Danio rerio: one gene and its partner. The protein of the gene in region 2 interacts with the protein of the main gene of each other region in a pairwise test. Links are inferred from orthologs where the notes say so. Each region holds a gene or a part of one and is shown on either strand. Other genes may lie near its edges.

Region 1 (9,382 bases), on a different chromosome or scaffold from region 2:
TTTCTTTTCAAAATGCTGGTAGGCATTGACTTGCATTTTACAAGTCTCCAAGGACCCCAATTTTCATTTCAAAATCATCTTTAATGATTTATAAATGAATTTCGTTATTTTTGCCCTTAAAGACAACCTCAGACTTGGAATCAAGAATTAAAGTACGTACCATCAGCCTTGCACGTGTGGTTAATCCTGGTGAAGTATTTGTGGCAGCTGCATTTGTAGGAGCCTTTGGTGTTATTACACACATGAGAACATACGCCAAACTGTTTGCACTCATCCTTATCTGAAAAAAAACGCAACAATATTAACAATGTTAATACGCACACTGTAGGTTCTGATATAACGTGCTGAGTAATAAAGTCTCTTTGGGTCTTATGAAGACTGCAGGCAGTACCTTCACAGGTGTTGTGTCTAACACTTTGGAAACCAGGTTTGCAGGAGCAGAAGGTGTCTGTGCCATTAGATACACAGTGAGCCTCATCGCCGTCTCCACACAGAGATTTGTTACTCTTACAGTCGTTCAGCATGGTGTCTTCAAAAAACAAAAGAAAAATTTAAAAAGAAATTTAGAGCACTTCAATATCAAGTTATAATATTAAAACGTTTATTTTATCCATAACGATCGATGGGGACATTAAAATAAACTCATTTGAATTACAATGTTTATATATATATATATATATAAAAATACAAAATAAAAACCATAAAAGGATGGCATTCAATTATTTCAGAGAATATTTCGCTGGAACTTCTACCTTTTCTCATTCACTTTTTAGTTCTATTTGCATTTTGCACTTTGACAAGATATAAATGTATAATTATTATTATGATATAATTATTAAAACAATACAATTGTAATATAATTTACATTTTTGATTGTGACAAACCTGTACTATACAGATAGCAGCATCTCACCTGTCTTGCAGCCGATCTCATCAGAGCCGTAGTCTTCACAGTCGTTGAAAAAGTTGCAACGCAGGTTGGCACTGATGCATTTGCCATTGGTGCACCTGAACTGGTCTTTATCACATGTGGATTCATAGTCTGTATGAACACGTCACAACAGTTAATGCAAACACTCGCTGATAAATGACTGATGCACAGCAGAGCTGAAAACTCACCACAGCTGGCCTCATCTGAGTTGTCTCCACAGTTGTCCACTCCATCGCACAGCTTGCTTCTCGTGAGACACACACGATTATTACGACAGCGGAAATTTCTAGTCGGTGGGCACTGGAAGTGTCCTGAATAACAGCAGAGAAGATTTAATCTTAGCTTTAAGTGCATTCATTCTGTTTTAAATGTATCATCATCAACCAAAACATTGACAACTGAGAAGGTTTTAAAATCAAATTAAAGACTTTTTAATAACTAATAAATGAAATAAATACCATACAGACATAGTAAAAAAGTCTGGTAACACTTTAGCTTAGGTGACAATTTGTGCTATTAGCTACTGGCTAACTAGGGCCAGACAGAATCTGCTGACATTTTTTTTGCTATTTCTGCTATTTTGGGAGTATCGTAAATTAAAACTTAATATATGAAATTTTCTAAATAAAAGCTTTTAAATTGTATTTAATATTTACAATGCAAATCCATCTACAGTAGATCCACTTATTTTGAAAACTAAGCAAGTCTCTTGTATAATATCTACTGAAAACTAGAAAATATTACTTTATAACACTTTCATATGTCAATAATATTACTAAAATAATTTAAATGCTGAATAAATATAAATTTAAACACATTTACACAAGCAAATAAATAGACTTGGGCTATAAATCTGCGTGTTTCCATGTAGGCCTACTTATAACTTACCTACTATTAAGATATTAACTGTTCATTAGAAGTTAAGTGAAGTATAATCTTGTTCTGCATCCCTAATCCTACCAAATACCTAAAACCCAACTTCTACCTTAATAACTATTAATAAAAAGCTAATTACTAGTTTATTAAGCTAGGACTGTTAATTAAAGGTGCAGTAGGTGACTGCCTTCAGAAACATTTTTTGTTGTGCTGGCTGAAAGTCTCTTCACATTCAAATAGTACTGATTAAAGTAAGTGATCTAAATGTATTTTTATGTATTTTTATATTCTGGTTAAGGCATAAGACTAAAAAATGTTTGTCCAATTTAAATGTCGAGCTGACATCTCCCATAATTCTGATACGGAGCTCAAACTGTCTGTCAGCAAATGCAAATTTAAGTTACTGCGCACCTGTTTGTACGCAGCTCTTCCATTTGTGGACACACGTGCATGCGCGTTCACGAGAGTGGTAGAGAGAGAGCGAGCAGTAAAAACATGCTGAATCGAAACTTTTTAAAAATCTTGAATCAATATTGGAGTTACTTTCGCATGCTGGAGGAAGGACGACACCATGGCTCAAGTATTTCTCTTGGACAGGTAATGTTATGATTTGAAACTATTTTTGTCACGCAGAGCTGATGTAGACTGGGTTGTTATGACTGAGTTATAGGCACAGAAGTGTAGTTTAGCCACTGAAATCTTCTGGTGTAAGATTGATGTGACTATTTTCTGTTTCATAAAGGCCTTTTACAGCATTAATAATGTAGATTTTATTTAGTTTAACAACAGAACATCAGTAAATAACGCTATTCCGCCTAGCCTACTTTACTTAGCTTAAGATGGTTTTATATTCATATTGGTTAATTTTTGAACATTGACAACGTGCGACGCGCTTCCTATGGTGTTTACCGCTACTCTGAATATTCGGTCAGAAGTAGCATGTAAGTACAGCTTAGAATTGAGTGTAATAATGAGTGTAATTCCTGCACGACGCCGGCCAAGCTTTAGCTCAACACATGAGAGAGGGTTCTGCTGTCATCTTCATTAAGGTTCGTGCGCTTGTGTTTTCAGGTGGCGTGGCTTTGGACGGCAGGGGAGGGACGGTGTTTTAGAGATTTATGCTAACAGGCTAGCATTGTGGCAGATCACCTTCTGCACCTTTAATATGTTAATAGTGAATTGTGACAAAAAAATCAAGTGTTACCAGAAATCCTATTTTAACACACTATTTAAAATTTCCTACATAAATTAACTAGCAAACGGCGAAAGTTTAATAAACTACAGATACCGGCAGGTAAATAAAAAAAATAAATAAATACCATTATACTTCACTATTGATTACATTAAGAATTACAAACATTCTGATGTATATCATTCTCTGAAATGCTATATTTAAATATGCAAACAAGCAACTACATCATAAAGCATGCAAAAAGGTTTGGTTTAAACTTTTTTGGACATATTAAAGTCAAAATGATTTTCACAATTACTTTGTAGAATTAAATGTATATATTCAGGCAAATTATGCATGAGCATGTTCCTCTGTCAAAGCCTTCAAAATATAAATATGAATATAACCATGAAGTGTGGTGTAAATGAAGTAAATGCTCCTAAATTAAAATGCTTTTATTAAAAATATACATTGTTATTGAAATCTACAGATACAAATGGATAATGTTTGACAAATGTAACAGTTAAATGTAAATTCTGGATGATTTTTTTTACAATAGACTAAAACAAACACTATAAGAAAAGCCAAATTTCCCCAATCTCTTTTTGTTGAGTGTGTGTGTGTGTTTGTGTATGTGTGTTTGTCTACGTGTTTTGTGACATATCAGGACACTAATCTGTATAATGACATAGGTATGACACAGGTATTACAAAAAGGAGGAAAATGTGAGGACATTGGTGATGTCCTCATTTCTCAAAATGCTTATAAATCCCACAGGATGAGTTTAATCAGAGAGTAAAGCTGCACACAGTCTCCTGTGATGGTTAGGTTTAGGGGTAAGTCAAGGTGAGGGCAATATAATATACGGTTTGTGATGTATAAAATGTATGGAAACCTATGTAATGTCCCCACTTTTTATAAAAACAAACGTGTGTGTGTGTGCGTGTATGTGTGTGTGTATACTTACTGCATGCCTCAGGGTTCTCATCTGAATTATCTCCACAATCATCCTCTCCATCACACTTCCAGGACAGTGGTTTACACAGAGTGTTATTACACTGGAACTCCTCACTGGAGCAGTGCCGCACCTCTGAGAGAGCAGGAGTAGAAAAATCAGATCAATCCATTAGACCAATCTTAACAAGAATACACATGTATAAGCCTGCAATAAACAGACACGCATACCAGTAATCTCACAGCGCTCTTCATCACTGCCATCAAGGCAGTCCACATCAGCATCACAACGCCAGGGGAGCGGAATACAGTGACCATTCTTACACTGAAACTGATCCTCCTCACACTTCAGATCACAGCCATCCTAACAGACACACACAGAAATAAAGATTCATATATTATACTGTCATGTAATATCACTTAACATAACACATGGTGTTAAATAAAAACAATAAAATTTAACACATTCAAAATATTTAATTCAATAAATAAAGCATTACAAAATATGTTTGATTAGGGATACAGCATACGATCACAGCAATTTCTGCAATTTAGTTTTAATTTTTAATACAGAATGTTTATTTGTCCTTAAATTATACTCATTTATTTGTCCTTAAAAATGTTTAGTTCAGGTAGGATTTTTATTGTGGTATTAAAAACTACAATTACAAACTGAAACATCACTAGTATGTACAATTTAGGTGTCAATCTAATTTATATAACTTACATATAAGTTTAAAATGTACTACAAATACATAATAGGTAAAAATAAATGAATAATTAAAACAGGTAAAAATAAATGAATAATTAATAGGTATTATGTGAAGCAAATTGTTAAAATTATAGTATTACACTGCAGTATGGTCGGGTTGTAACTATAATAATATCCATACAGAGCAATTAACAGCCAATAACTCATTTAGTAGACACATTGAGTAATTGTAATCACAGTAAAGTGAATGGAATGTAAATGCAATCAATTTGTTATATATATATATATATATATATATAAATATATATATAAATATATATATAAATATATATATTTATTTATATACACACACACACACGCATATATATATATAAATAAATGTGTGTGTGTGTATATATATATATATATATATATATATATATACACACACACACACACACACACACACACACACACACACACACATATATATATATGTGTGTGTGTGTGTGTGTGTGTGTGTGTGTGTGTGTGTGTGTGTGTGTGTGTGTGTGTGTGTGTGTGTGTGTGTGTGTGTGTGTGTGTGTGTGTGTAATATAATATAATAATGGAGAGTATCTTGGGATGCTAGATAAACATAAGTAGCTCATTAATATCCTACAATTTTACAAATAAATTAATATTCATGAATGTGTTATATTTGTTTACATACACCTAGATCAAAAGGCAAATAGAAGAGACTAAATTAAATAGAATTTATAAGTAATAGAATATAAAAATTATATAATTCATATTGGTGCGATTACAAAATCCAGTGCTTTCAGGATGTTTTAACAAATGATTAGATTTAGCAGAAACTCATGGTTGAATGGAGAATTGTTGCAGTTAAGTGAAGATTTGATTAAGTGGTCCATCGATTATTGCACTTCTTCAATTGGCTACACACAATTTGCATTACAGGTGGTGAAGGGAGGTAATGAACTGCAGTACCTCATCAGATCCATCTGAGCAGTCATGATCTCCATCACACTTCCACCTTCCAGCAATACAGCGGCCATTAGAGCAGGCAAACTCACTCTCTGAGCACTGACGCGGCACTGACAGAGACAGAACAAGACAAGTAAATGTTGAAACTGAACATAGACATTCTGTATGTGCCAGCAATACACTATGGTGACTGCAAGGAAAACATAAGAGGAAAGAAAGGGACACATTTTAAGACAAGGGCTATAGTAAAGCTTAAAGAGTGAGGGCAAAAGGAAACACTTTTAACACATACTGTACATCTAATAATCAAATTCAGAGATCCCAAACCTGATGATCATTTTTGTGACATACCTTTTTTACTTTAATAACTTCCAAGTTACTTGTGTTTACATGTATAGAGATTTAGAAATGTATGTAAATTACACTACTAATTGAGTGCAGTGAAACATACACACAAAATATACGTCTTTAAGAACTGTACTTCATTCAATTTCATATATAGTGTTGAAGTAAATGTATACATTTTATAAATATATTCAATATATTTCACATATTTAATAAATACATGTGTATGTGTGTATTTTATTATAAATTTGGAATAACCTCTTTGACATTTTTTATGACACTTTACAATCATTTTTCATTACTTAATGTTAGTTCATGTATGTACTAACATAAACTAAGAATGAACAATACTTGTACAACGTTTAATCATTATAGTTCAACAGTTACTAAAGCCATGTTTCTCAAAGTGGGTGTCGCGGGACAATGAAGGGGGGGGTCGCCTGGTGATTTCCAAAAATCTATTTATTTTTTCTAAACCATAGGAATTACTATATTTTATACATAACCTACTGAAGAGAAAAAAAAATGTTGTTTATAGTTACCATTTACTATATAGTTACTATAGTAGCTTATAGTTACTATTGGATTGCGACCCCTGGGGTAATTACATTATATTAAAGAAAGCAAAAGTGTCAGATGCAGCAGATTGATTTTATAACACCAGGTTAAACTTTCTGGCACATTCATAGCTGTGACAAAAAAATAAAAACGAAGAATAGACTTGGGAGGATATTGGGGGTCGTGAGTCACTGGCATTGTCATTTTGGGGGTCGCGGACTGAAAAGTTTGGGAACCCCTGTACTAAAACATTATAAAAATCCAACTTCATTTTCAATTACTAACGTTGACAAATCAAATTAATACTGTAATAAACCTATTGTTTACTGTTTATTCAAGCCAGTAAATACATTAGCTAATATATTAAGCAATACAACCTTACTGCAAAGCGTTACCAATATTTTTATGTAAAATTGTAAACTATATGTTTGTTAATATATAAAAAAAAAAAAATCTAAATGTAGGAAAAATCTAACAATATTAGCATGTTAACTGCTAAAAGCGTCACTGTATTTAATTTAAAGAAGGAAAAATGAACTCTACAATTTCGCCACTAGAGGGCAGAAGCTGTGCCACTTCTGTCAAAAACACAAATGAAAGCATGGGGAAATGAGGAGAAGAGAGGAGAGGTTTGAAGGGGTTGGAGACCTACCTCTGAGTCAAGCCAATGGGTCAGTGTGAAATGAAGAATAGAGACAACATGAAGTGAGATGCAGCAGTGAGCAACATGGGTGAGCTATGACACCGGACAAAATACCCACAATGCCTCCCACAGACAAATGTAACGGGCACAAATAATAGGAAGCTGCTAGATTCAGCGTTGTGCGTGTACAGTAGTGGTACATGCAGTCTCAGGTGCATTAAGGTGAGCAGGAATGCTAAAGTCAGTCTGTCTGTTGAGATACGTACCACACTTCTCCTCATCTGAGTTATCGCCACAGTCATTATCATAATCACACTGCCAGCGGCCCGGCACACAGCGGTTGTTCTTACAGCGGAACTGGTAAGGCTCACATGTTCTCTCATCTGCCATAAGAAAAACAAATGATTAATCAGTTTTATCTAAATAAACAGTTTACTAATTATAAAATAAAACATACTAAAGAGGATCAAACATAAATGACTTCTGTATTTTTATCATTACACACAGTGTTGGGTTAAAGTTACTTCAAAAAAGTAATTAATTACTATTTACATCATTACAATTGTATTGAAGTTACGTTTCTAATTACTTTTCCTGAAAAGTAATTTAATTAGTTCACCCAATACTATTTAAAAATATATAATTCTCAATGCATACACAATAAAGATTATTTTAATTCTTTAAATTTGAATCAAACCAGATTCTTAGTTTTATTTTAAAAACTCACATAAATTTTTTAAAAACATTATGTATCAAAACAAAAAAAAACATCCAGTATAATGACACCATATTTCATAAATAGAATATATTACAATTTCTTAAATGGCTTGTTCACAAAAAAATAATAATTCTGTCACCATTTACTCACCCTTTACTTGAGTTTTTCTCTTCTGTTGAACACAAGTGAAGATATTTTGAAGACTGTTGGAAACCTGTAACCATTGACTTCCATAGAAGGAAAAGCAAATACGATGGAAGTCAATGGTTACAGGTTTTCAGCTTTCTTTGTGTGTAACCAAAGAAAGAAACTCAAAGGTTTGGAACCACTTGAGTGGATTAAATAGTAAGCACATTTTTATTTTTCACTTTAAAGGTGCTGTATGTACGTTTTTGACTCTTCTGAAGCATAAAAATACCATAATATGTTTGCAAATATTTAAGAAACGTGCCAGGTGAACATTCTTGTTTATCTGAAAAACAATGCTGAAGTCAATATTCTGCTTTTTAAAATGGGCGTTCTGTGCTGCTGTCTTTGTTTTGGTTCTTTAAACCCACCCAATGGCAGTTTATACAATTATATTTCAGCACCCTGGGTTGCCTTGTTGGAAAATCGCGTATTTCATTCATTCATTTAGAACGACTCTCGAAGCATGCACCCGTGACTGAAATGTGACCTCCAGTGGACAGTAGCAGACTCCGAAATTAGACGCAGATTCAGAGTTCCACATAAGGTTATTTATTAGCAAAAATTATAAATATTACTAACGTAAACATTAGGTGAGCAGGTTATATTTTAACCCCGTGTCCTAACAACACGCTACGTGATGGATTTGCAGTGATGAGCAATTTGGCTGTTTGATCCAGAAATGCAAGTCCTAGTTCAACAACTGGGTGTCAAACTTACATATTGCACCATTAAGCAAGTGCAATAGTCAGATTAATCTAACCTCCATTGAGTTATTATGCTAAATATCGAACTAAAAACAACAAAATATCCCATTACACTGTTTTAAAGTGAGTTATTTCATACAGAAGTGATTAATTTATTTGCAGTAGTTAATACATTATAAGTAACTGCAATTAAATAACCTTAAAATTAAAAATAAACCCTTAATTTGCTTTTTCATTGGAAAAGTAATCTAATTAAAGTAACTAGATACTTTCAAAATAAGTACACATAACACTGATTACATATTAAATATTTATTATTATTAATTGAATAACAATACATTAAAAAAATAATAAAATATTTTAATGAGAAAGAGGAAAATGGATAAATGTAGAATTAATAAAAAGGCATAAATGAAAGGAATAAAGAAAAAGTCAGTCATACCGCACTCCTCTTTGGGTTCATCAGAGGCGTCGCCGCAGTCGTCCTCTCCATCACATGTCCAGCGAGACGGGATACAGCGGCCTGAGTCTTTACAGCGGAACTCATCTACACCACACTTCATCTGAGCTGTAAAAAGAAAAGAAAAAAAAACAGAAACAGCTGTTATGTGCATGT
Region 2 (9,941 bases):
ATCCTGTAAATTTGTGAGGGGTGTCCTCATATATACTGAGCACAGAAATATATATTTTTAATACAATAATTTATCTTATAAATTCAATATAACATTTTTTAAAATATTTTTTTTCATATTTTGGTTAAAATTCTCAGTATTCCTAAAAAATACTCTAATATCATCATATTTTTTGATAAAATTCGTGATATTTTTGCTGAAATATGGATGTTTTTCATCTAGACAGTCACATTTCTGACACGTAGCCACAAAGGCTCAGTGTATTTTTTTAGATCAATAAAGTTAATGTAATGCAAATGTTAACCTATTTTAAGCAGCCAAGAAATACCCACTGATCTACGAGTATAACACCATCCACCATCCACCTCTGGCATTAACAAAACCAAAAATCAACAAGTAAGCCCAAAAACGTCACTCTATTCCACACACATTTAAAAAACACCACCAACATTCCTTGCAAAAACGTTTGTTTTTACTCCCACCTCGTTATAATTTGCTCAAACTGGCCCATCAAAGTGCCGCCCCCTGCTGTTTGACCCTCACAGGTCAACATTAATGATCCACTCGGGCTTTTTCCTGCCAGATTACATTACACACCGAGGGCGGACAACAGTGATTCATAGCAGGTGGGCCACAAACCCAAACGTCATCAGCATCACCAGTCGAGAGTATCAAAAAATTTGCATACCCACCAAACACACACTCAACATCTCATCATTCTGAATTATACTAATAACCAGATTTCTTTTAAAAAGAATGACTAATATCATCCATCCGCCTTAAAACATCAAGCCAAAGCATCCGCCTCACCTGGGTCCTTGGCACTTGGGGGAAAAGATTGAGGGTGGTCGGTCTTTTAGGCCGGTAAGTATCCATATCGTTAGCAGGAGTGAGTGTTTTCAGCTGAGGCAGAATGACAGGCGGCCCTGCGCCCCGCTCCTCCTTATGGTTGTCATCGATGGCATCAAAAGGCCGCCTGTCGTCCCGCTCTTCTTCCTGGATTCCTCCCTCTGCATCAATCAGGTCCAAGTGGAGCATCTCAGCCTGCAGCTCCACCGCCTCCCTCCTCCGGCCGCTCCTCGCCGCGCCATTGGTTGGCCGCGTCATGTGATCCTGGAGAGAGCAGAAAGCAGAGGAGCTGCAGTCAGGCAAGGGCGGCCAATCAGAGTGCTGTGGTGACATCACCAGCCTGTGGCTCTCCCTCGGCTGCGAGGAAAAGCTAATTCAATCCCAGAGAACAATGAGGCGTGTCACACACACACGACAAGAGGCAAATAAACACACCCTGACATGACACGCAGGATTTACAGGGGGATTTATAGCATGTTCAAATATAACAACGCAGGCTGTCTTGGTGTTGTGATGCTAATTGCGGGATTAAAATGTTGGGCAATTGTAAATGAGGGAATTTTTAAAAAGTGGTTGGAGGATGATGAACCACTTTGACATGCTCAACTATGCTAATCTGCTTCATTCTATTAAACATACTTTTTTTGGCATAAATGTTTACGTTAAATTGTTAATTGTTAGATTGTTATTGAAATCATACGAGATCTTTCTTTATGGCTAGACTGTGATGAACATTTTAGAATGTATAGCATATTCAGTTATGACAATCTATACATGCACCTTTTTAAAAACTTGGTATAAACAGTGATGCTAAGATGCTAATTATCGCATAACAAAATGTTAAATAATAAATGCAGAATTTATTAGTGAAATAAAAAAAACACACTCAAAAAGATTAATTTTGGTTGCTTGTTTAAACTAATTTTTTAAAATGACCTGAAACAACACAATTCTTGAGATTTTTTGTGACAACTTAATTGTTTTAAGTTCAATGCACTTCAATTTGTTACATTAACTTCAATTTTTGTTGGGACGACATGAATGAATTGTGTGGAACCCTGCATTTTTTACAGTTTAGCTACTGCCATGCTAATTTTATTTTTAATGCTAATTTTGGCACAAAAATACTGTGAAATGATGAATGCAGGGTTTCTTTCTTCATTGTGGTTAGACTATGATATGTAGGATGAAAGTATGATCATTTTTAAATGGCTAAATGATGATGTCTAATTGTCTATGATAAACAGGGAGAACCTTTTAATTTCTCAGTGTCAGAGGCAATTACGCTAAACTACCCTATGAATGTAATAATGCTAATTATTGCATAAAAAAGGATGTGAAGTTACAATACTGTGATTTTGGTTTAATTTAAGACCATGATATCTATGATAAATATAATTTGTAAGTCAGTTTGGACTAAAGCATTTGCTAAATGACTAAATGTGATTATAAATAGACAGCCACTTGCAGCTGGATCTGACATATACAGAATTTTAGTTCAGTTAAAGGGATAGTTTACAGAAAAATACATATGCTGTTATTCTTATATTACATATAAGTTATTTAGTCATGCTTTGCTTTATCCAAACCAGCTGGTCTTTGTTTGTTTGTTTCTTTCATTGAACACAGAAGAAAATTATTTGAAGAAAGCTAAAAACCTGTAACCATTGACTTATTGTTTGTTTTTCCTATTATGGAAGTTAATGACAACAGTTAGGTTTTTTCCAGAATATCTTTTGTGTTCAACAGAAGAGAGAAACTCAAAAGGGTATAGAACCAGTTGGGGGTTTGTAAATAGTAAGTAATTTTTAACTTTAGGTTGAACTGTCCTTTTAAGCTAAACTGGGCGAAACAGTTCAAACATGTTATAATGCTGACTGTTGGATACAAACATTTGTGAAATCATAAAGGATTTTTGTTTAAGTTCAGATGAATAGACAACAATATCCATGACAATTCAGATGTGACTGAATTTGACATTTAACATTTACGTATAGGCTAATAATGCCAAATTTTAGCATAAACGTTAAAATGCTAATCAATGCATGAAAATATTGTGAATACTTACATAAAGTATTTTTGTTTAAGTGACTAAATGAAGAATTACACGATAAAAAGTCAGATGTGTTTGGCTTTGATAGAGGGAATATATAAACAGTATATATACAGTTGAAGTCAGAATTATTAGCCCCCTGAATTATTAGCCCCGTTTATTTTTCCCCCCGATTTCTGTTTAACAAAGAGAAGATTGTTTCAACACATTTCTAAACATAATAGTTTTATTAACTCATTTTTAATCACTGATTTATTTTATCTTTGCATTGATAATGACAGTAAATAATATTTGACTAGATATTTTTTAAGACACTTCTATACAGCTTAAAGTGACATTTAAAGGCTTAATTAGGTTAATTCGATTAACTAGGCAGGTTAGGGTAATTAGGCAAGTTATTGTATAACGATGGTTTGGTCTGTAGACTATATAAAAAAAGGTGAATTGGGTGAGCTAAATTGTCCGTAGTGTATGTGTGTTTGGATGTTTCCCAGAGATGGGTTGCGGCTGGAAGGGCATCCGCGGCGTAAAAACTTGCTGGATAAGTTGGCGGTTCATTCCGCTGTGGCGACCCCGGATTAATAAGAATGAATACTTTGAAAATTTCCTTGCTCTGTTAAACATTTGGAAAATATTTAAAAAAGAAAATAAATTCAAAGGAGGCAAATAATTCTGACTTCTACTGTATATATATTCAATTAAGCTAAACTACCTAGCTATCTTAGCATAAACGTAATTATGCTAATTAATGCATAAAAAGGTTGTGATATCATAAACATCTGATATCTTTTTTTAGAGGATAACATACATTAAAAACAGTCAGATGTGACTAGATTTGACAGAACATTTACGTATAAGCTAATAATGCCAAATTTTTGCGTAAATGTTGATGATAATAATGTTAATCACTGCATGAAAAGATTGTGAATTACTTATATAAAGTATTTATGTTTCAGTGGCTGAAATACACGATAAACAGTTAGATGTGAATGGTTTTGATTGAGAGAATTTATATTCAATTAAGCTAAACTATCTTAGCATAAACGTAATTATGCTAATTATTGCATAAATAGTTGTGAAAACATACATATTTTACTCATTTTTTTAAGATGATGCCTTCTAAAAATAGTCAGATGTTACTGGCTTTTTATGCTTAATTATGTTAAATCATAGCACAAACGTTATAATGATAATTGCTTCATAAAAAAGGAAGCGCAGCCATAAATAATGGCTTTTTCTTTCAGTTTAATTGGTTAGACAATGACATACATGAGAAACAGTCAGATGTGGCCAGCCTTGACATCCCCCTCAGTGTTGTTAACGCCTCATGCTAATTGACTGCTATGCTAATTGACACTGAACACGGAAAGCCTCCGGTGACCTCATGCTCATTCAAATTCATACAAATTCGGAAATAATCTCTACACATATTCAGACCGCAGTACATGGAAGCTAATGATGTGTCTTTGACCTAGAAATCTATTTTTGCTGTGGGGTAAACAGCTAGCTTCATTCAGTCCGAGAGCGTATGACTCTGCCTCATGGAAAGATAAGTGACTGTGTTGGTTTTTGGGTGGAGAGATGTAAACCACACATACACAATTTACTACTGATGTACTGCTGTTTCTGAATTAAGATAACTGTGATCAATGTAGTCTAACCATACGCATGTTGTTTACTGATATCCCTTTGTGTTTTAATAACGTTTAATTCACGGGGAACGATAGAAATGTCATAAAAGGGATTTCATTGCTAAAGTGACTTAGTTACTGACTCATCGTCATGTCGTTTTAAACTTGGATGACTTTGTTTTTGATATAACACAAAAGAAGATATTTTGCAGAATGTTCAAGCTGTTCTTTTATGTAACTTAAAAGCTATTGCAAAATTGACATTTTGATAACCAAATAAATCAAATAACAAATTCATTTACATTCTATATTAAAATTATTATGGACTATGTTAGGGCTGCACAATATATAGTTTCAGCATCGATATCGCAATGTGCGAATACACAATAATAATAACTATAATAATAATTCCTTACATTTACAGTATATAGCGCTTTACACAAAATTACTTTTTATAAATGTAATGCATCCCTGCCGAATAAAATAAATTTTAATCAAAATTTTTTTTTTTTTTCAAAATCCTGACCCAGAAATGACCTTGAATGCTACTGAAGTATAACTTATTTAAAATGTACAGATAAAGTCAGAATTATTAGCCCTCCTGAATTTTTAGCCCCCTTGTTTTTTTTTTCTCTGATTCCCGAGATTTTTTCAGCACATTTCTAAACATAATAGTTTTAATAACTCATTTCTAATAAATAACTGATTTATTTTACTTCTATACAGCTCAAAGTGACATTTAAAAGCTTAACTAGGTTAATAAGGTTAGCTAGGCAGATTAGGGTATTTAGGCAAGTTATTGTATAACGATTGTTTGTTCTGTAGATTATCGAAAAATAAAGCTTAAAGAGGCTAATAATTTTGACCCTTAAATGGTTTTAAATTTTTTTGAAATTTTCTAGCCAAAATAAAACAAATAAGACTTTCTCCAGAAGAAAAATATTATCAGACATACTGTGAAAAATTCCTTGCTCTGTTAAACATCATTTGGAAAATATATAAAAAAAATAAATAAAAAAATTCAAAGGGGGCTAAAAATTCTGACTTCAACTGTTAGAGTATGAATCAAAAGTAGCAATAAATCTAAATAGGTTCTGACTCCTGAAGCGCTCGGTCAGATAATGCAGTGAGCCATGAGTTCATCAGCCTATTGGAGATAAGCTACAGGACCAGAGCAGATGTTGATTAACTCTTATAGGCTTGTACAGGTGGTACTTTGGCACACTTCCCGAAATCATGGTAAGCCTGACACTACAAACCAGACTAAAGACCAAAACACTGAATCAGAATGGGAATAATTATGTTGGCTTGATATGACATCTCAACATGTGAAATACATTAAAACCTGCTAAAGCAAAACATGCTAAATACATGTTGGCTAATACTATGTAATAAGTAGTTGAAATAAGCATAAATGTCAGGGAAAAACATCTAAGAGGCCATTTTAAAACACATTTTAAAAGATGTTAAGATGTTAATAAAATATTATTGGTAACATTGTGCTAAATGAAGTATCAACATGTTAACGTAATATAAAACATTCTGTCGTAACATGCTTACAATTGTTATGTTAAAAAGTTAATATTATCAACAATATTTTATGTTAGCACAGTTTTGAAGTTATAACATGCTAGTTAACACAATGATAGCAATTCAAGCTAGCAAAATGTTAAAAATGTCTGCATGTTTGAAAGGTGTTGAAACACTGTACAAAACCGCATACTTTCACATTAAAACATACTAGCAACGTTTAATCATGCTGCTAATGTGCTAACACTACTGAATACCTTGGTATCACGTAAAACATGTCAAAAAACATGTCAAAACATTTTAACGTGAATTCATGTTAGCAAAAGGCTAAACATGTTAACTACCTTTAACGCTACAAAACATGTCAGCAACTTAATCAATTGGCCTACGATAGCCATGTGCTAACTAGAGAATTCTAAAAAGATAAAACTTTAATGTACTGACCTTATTTCATTAAAACTTTTCAAAGTTAGCCTATTAAACTCAGAGCAAGTTTTGTCAGGTCAATATTGACATATTTGTCATTAAACATAACTTATCTAATTTGTAATAATACTAACGTTACCTACTACAATAGCCGTTACTACAGCAACTGAAAACTCCAGGATAAAGAAAAAGTAATTAACAGATAGCAGAAAAAAAAGATATAATGTTAGGCTATAAATATATTTAATTAAATTTACTCAACACAAAAAGGCAAACATATTGCATAAGTATCCAAATAAAACCTTAATTAAATAATACATAAATATTAGGCCTATCGTTTTGTTGTATAAAGTTTACCTCACTGTCTTTATATAACAGATTCGTCATTTTTTGTATTTGACTTACTTGAGTGTCGAGGTCGAGATGGCCGAGTGTAATTCCGTTTTCATCCGTGATTTCAGTCACTTCAGACAGATCATCATCCTCATATTCATCCAGACTGATATCATGAGTCAACCTGAAGAGCGCCAACACACACTACGTCACGGTCATACTTCCACGAGACTATCACTAGACAATCACACACAATTGACTAATTATAACTTTAGGACCACTGTGCAAACACAAAACCCTCCTTTTCCCTAAATGCTTGAGTAAAACGCATTTTTTAGCCTGTAAATGACTAACGTCACTTTTTTCAAGCGGTCATTTAGAGCCGGTTTTTAGTCGTATGTATAACATAACAATAACACGATAATGAATAAAAACTTAAAAATAATTGTATGAATGCATATTTATAGACTTAATCCAAGAGGGAAATCATATTGGTCAGCATTATTATAAGATATTGCTTGGAAAGGAACATGGCTTCCCCGATATAAATATGTAATCCCAAACAAAGCAAAGGAAATCCATTTTAAAATTCTACACAAAACATACCAGGTCAATGCATTTATCTCAAAATTTACTGACATTGCAATTACTTGTTCTTTCTGTCAGGAAAATTAGCAAACTTTGACTCGCATGTTTTTTATTTGTAAAATCTCACAAAAGTTTTGGTCAGATCTATATTTGAATAAATCACAATCAACAAAACAAACCTTTAAATTGAAACCTATTATTTGTAGTCACAAGAAGAAAAAATAATGAATTTATATATATATATATATATATATATATATATATATATATATATATATATATATATATATATATATATATATATATATATATATAATCCTCTCCCTCATTTGCCCAATTTTTAATTGAAATTCATTCCTTGATTAAAGCTACGTTTATCTAACAACAAAAAATTATATATATATATATATATATATATATATATATATATATATATATATATATATATATATATATATATATATATATATATATATATATAATTATATATATATATATATATAATTATATATATATATGTGTGTGTGTGTGTGTGTGTGTGTGTGTGTGTGTGTGTGTGTGTGTGTGTGTAAATACATACACACAACAATATAATATATTCTTATTGAAATAGTTTATAAACACACAAGAACTATATGATAACACACAAAGAATACATATGAAAAATGAACATAGAATTCTGCTGCAAGAAAGCAGGACCAAAAACAAAAGTATTCTTTTAAAAACACTGCTTTGACTTGCTTAAGCACAATGACATTTTACCTAGCATTTATTGAAAAACTGTATTACTGTATCTATTAACATCAATCTACCTAACATTTTTTGTAAATCTGTATTCTGATAAATTCAGGTCTAAAAGCACTTAATTCACAGTACTTCCTGTAAATAGCCCAGTCGTCCACATTTTTCCGTATACCTCATGTAACAAAATCAGTCAAGCGATTGAACAAAACCACAAACACCTTTTTTTGTGCCACAAGAAAACTCAAAGCAAGTCTAATTTTAGATTAAAAACCTTCACATCACTCAGCTCTCCATTGGACATTGGAAGCTGATCCAAGGTCAGTTAAGGCAAAAACACTGCAGGTTAATAATAAAAATAAAGAGCTAATAGTGATCAATATGTGTTTCTGTAATTGAAATTATTTTGTATTTCAAGTTTTCTAAAATGTTTAAATATGCAAATGAAGCATTATTTTATTAGGTATGCACTAACTGGCAAACATTGAGCACAAAAACCTGATGAAGTCAGGTATAGCTTTACAAATAAACAAGTAAAATCTATTCTGAGGAAAATCATTCAGAAAAGCAGCCAGAAAAACAACAACTTAAATAACAATAATCTAAATATGTATGAATAAGCCCTTGGATAAAAAATAAAATAAAATAAAAAAACCTTCGGAATATAGATATAAATAAAACTGAGTCGTCTGGTGTGTTTAAGTGATGCTGAAATGGAAATATCATGTCTCAAAGCACAGCAAAATATCATTTGAAGACAACAACCTTCAAAAACACTAATCATAATGGAAAACTACAGACACAATTTGATAAAGCACGGCCAAAGAAAGCATTAAAGAGCACATTGAAGTTTTTTTTCCATTAAACCGAAAAAAAGAACTGAAATAAAGACTAAAAATCTGAAAACAGGAACATAAAACTGCTTTGCTTGCAGTGTCTCGCCTTAAGGCCGCATGTGTACTGTACCATTTCTCCCACTGCTCCTCCATCCAGCCGTCCCATTCCTCTCTGGAGTCCATGGCCAGGCTGAGCACCATCTGCGGAGCAGGGCGGGGTGCCACAAGACCCTTCCTGGGAAGCTAAACCGACTTCGCCACTTCAGGCTCTCCTGTCCAGCTCGCCAAAATTTACCGGAGGAATTTCATCAGCCACAGGACGTCCACAGTTGTGCTCTGCGTCCTTCGGTGGAACCATTAAAGTCACTGAAGTGGAGAGAGAGGAAGAGAGAGAGGGCGAGAGAGGCGTAGTCTCTTCTAAAAGGGTCTGCCATCCTCGTGATTGAAAGCCCAGATCAATGCGGCTCAAGTTGCCACCTCCACACAAGTGCAGGCCGAGAGAGATGCCTGCTGGGAATCGATGCCATTGATAACGGATGAAAATATCTGGAAGGCTGATGCGTGAGATGTACGCTGGTTGATTAAAAGTTCATCAGGAACTGCTGAGAAATGGTGTTAATTAGATCGAGGTGTTCTAGAATGTGAGGAGTTAACTTAAATTGGTGGGTTGCAGATAGATCAAAGGGGGGGGGGGGGGGGACAAAACAAAATCACTAAAACCAAATAAATAAATTTAAAACAGATTTAAAAATTTTTTTAAAGAATAAAAAAAAGATGATTTCAAAAGATGAAAAAAAGATGACTTGTTCAAACTACTTAGAATTTAAAATAAGCTAAAATAACATTTCTTGAGATTTTTTGGGGCACATCTTAATTGATTTATGTTCAATAGACTTAAATATAGAGTTAACTTAATCGATTTGTGTTGGGACAACATGAATGAATTGTGGGAAC

The links.
Region 1: the proteins of mapk8ip1a (region 2) and lrp1ab interact in a two-hybrid assay, tested with the Homo sapiens proteins (2 studies listed by BioGRID). The link is inferred for Danio rerio from reciprocal best matches to the Homo sapiens genes MAPK8IP1 and LRP1.

What each region holds. Positions count from the first base shown.
Region 1 is NC_133198.1:28,414,372-28,423,753, forward strand, and holds part of lrp1ab (low-density lipoprotein receptor-related protein 1), read right to left. Parts: intron 9,335-9,382; coding exon 9,209-9,334; intron 7,539-9,208; coding exon 7,422-7,538; intron 5,720-7,421; coding exon 5,613-5,719; intron 4,296-5,612; coding exon 4,163-4,295; intron 4,068-4,162; coding exon 3,945-4,067; intron 1,242-3,944; coding exon 1,119-1,241; intron 1,042-1,118; coding exon 913-1,041; intron 530-912; coding exon 392-529; intron 281-391; coding exon 161-280; intron 1-160. UniProt on the Homo sapiens protein: Endocytic receptor involved in endocytosis and in phagocytosis of apoptotic cells. Required for early embryonic development. Involved in cellular lipid homeostasis.
Region 2 is NC_133200.1:14,766,799-14,776,739, forward strand, and holds the start of mapk8ip1a (C-Jun-amino-terminal kinase-interacting protein 1a), read right to left. Parts: upstream 6,703-9,941; 5' UTR 6,508-6,702; intron 1,114-6,507; coding exon of another isoform or gene 1,108-1,113; coding exon 811-1,107; intron 1-810. UniProt on the Homo sapiens protein: The JNK-interacting protein (JIP) group of scaffold proteins selectively mediates JNK signaling by aggregating specific components of the MAPK cascade to form a functional JNK signaling module. Required for JNK activation in response to excitotoxic stress.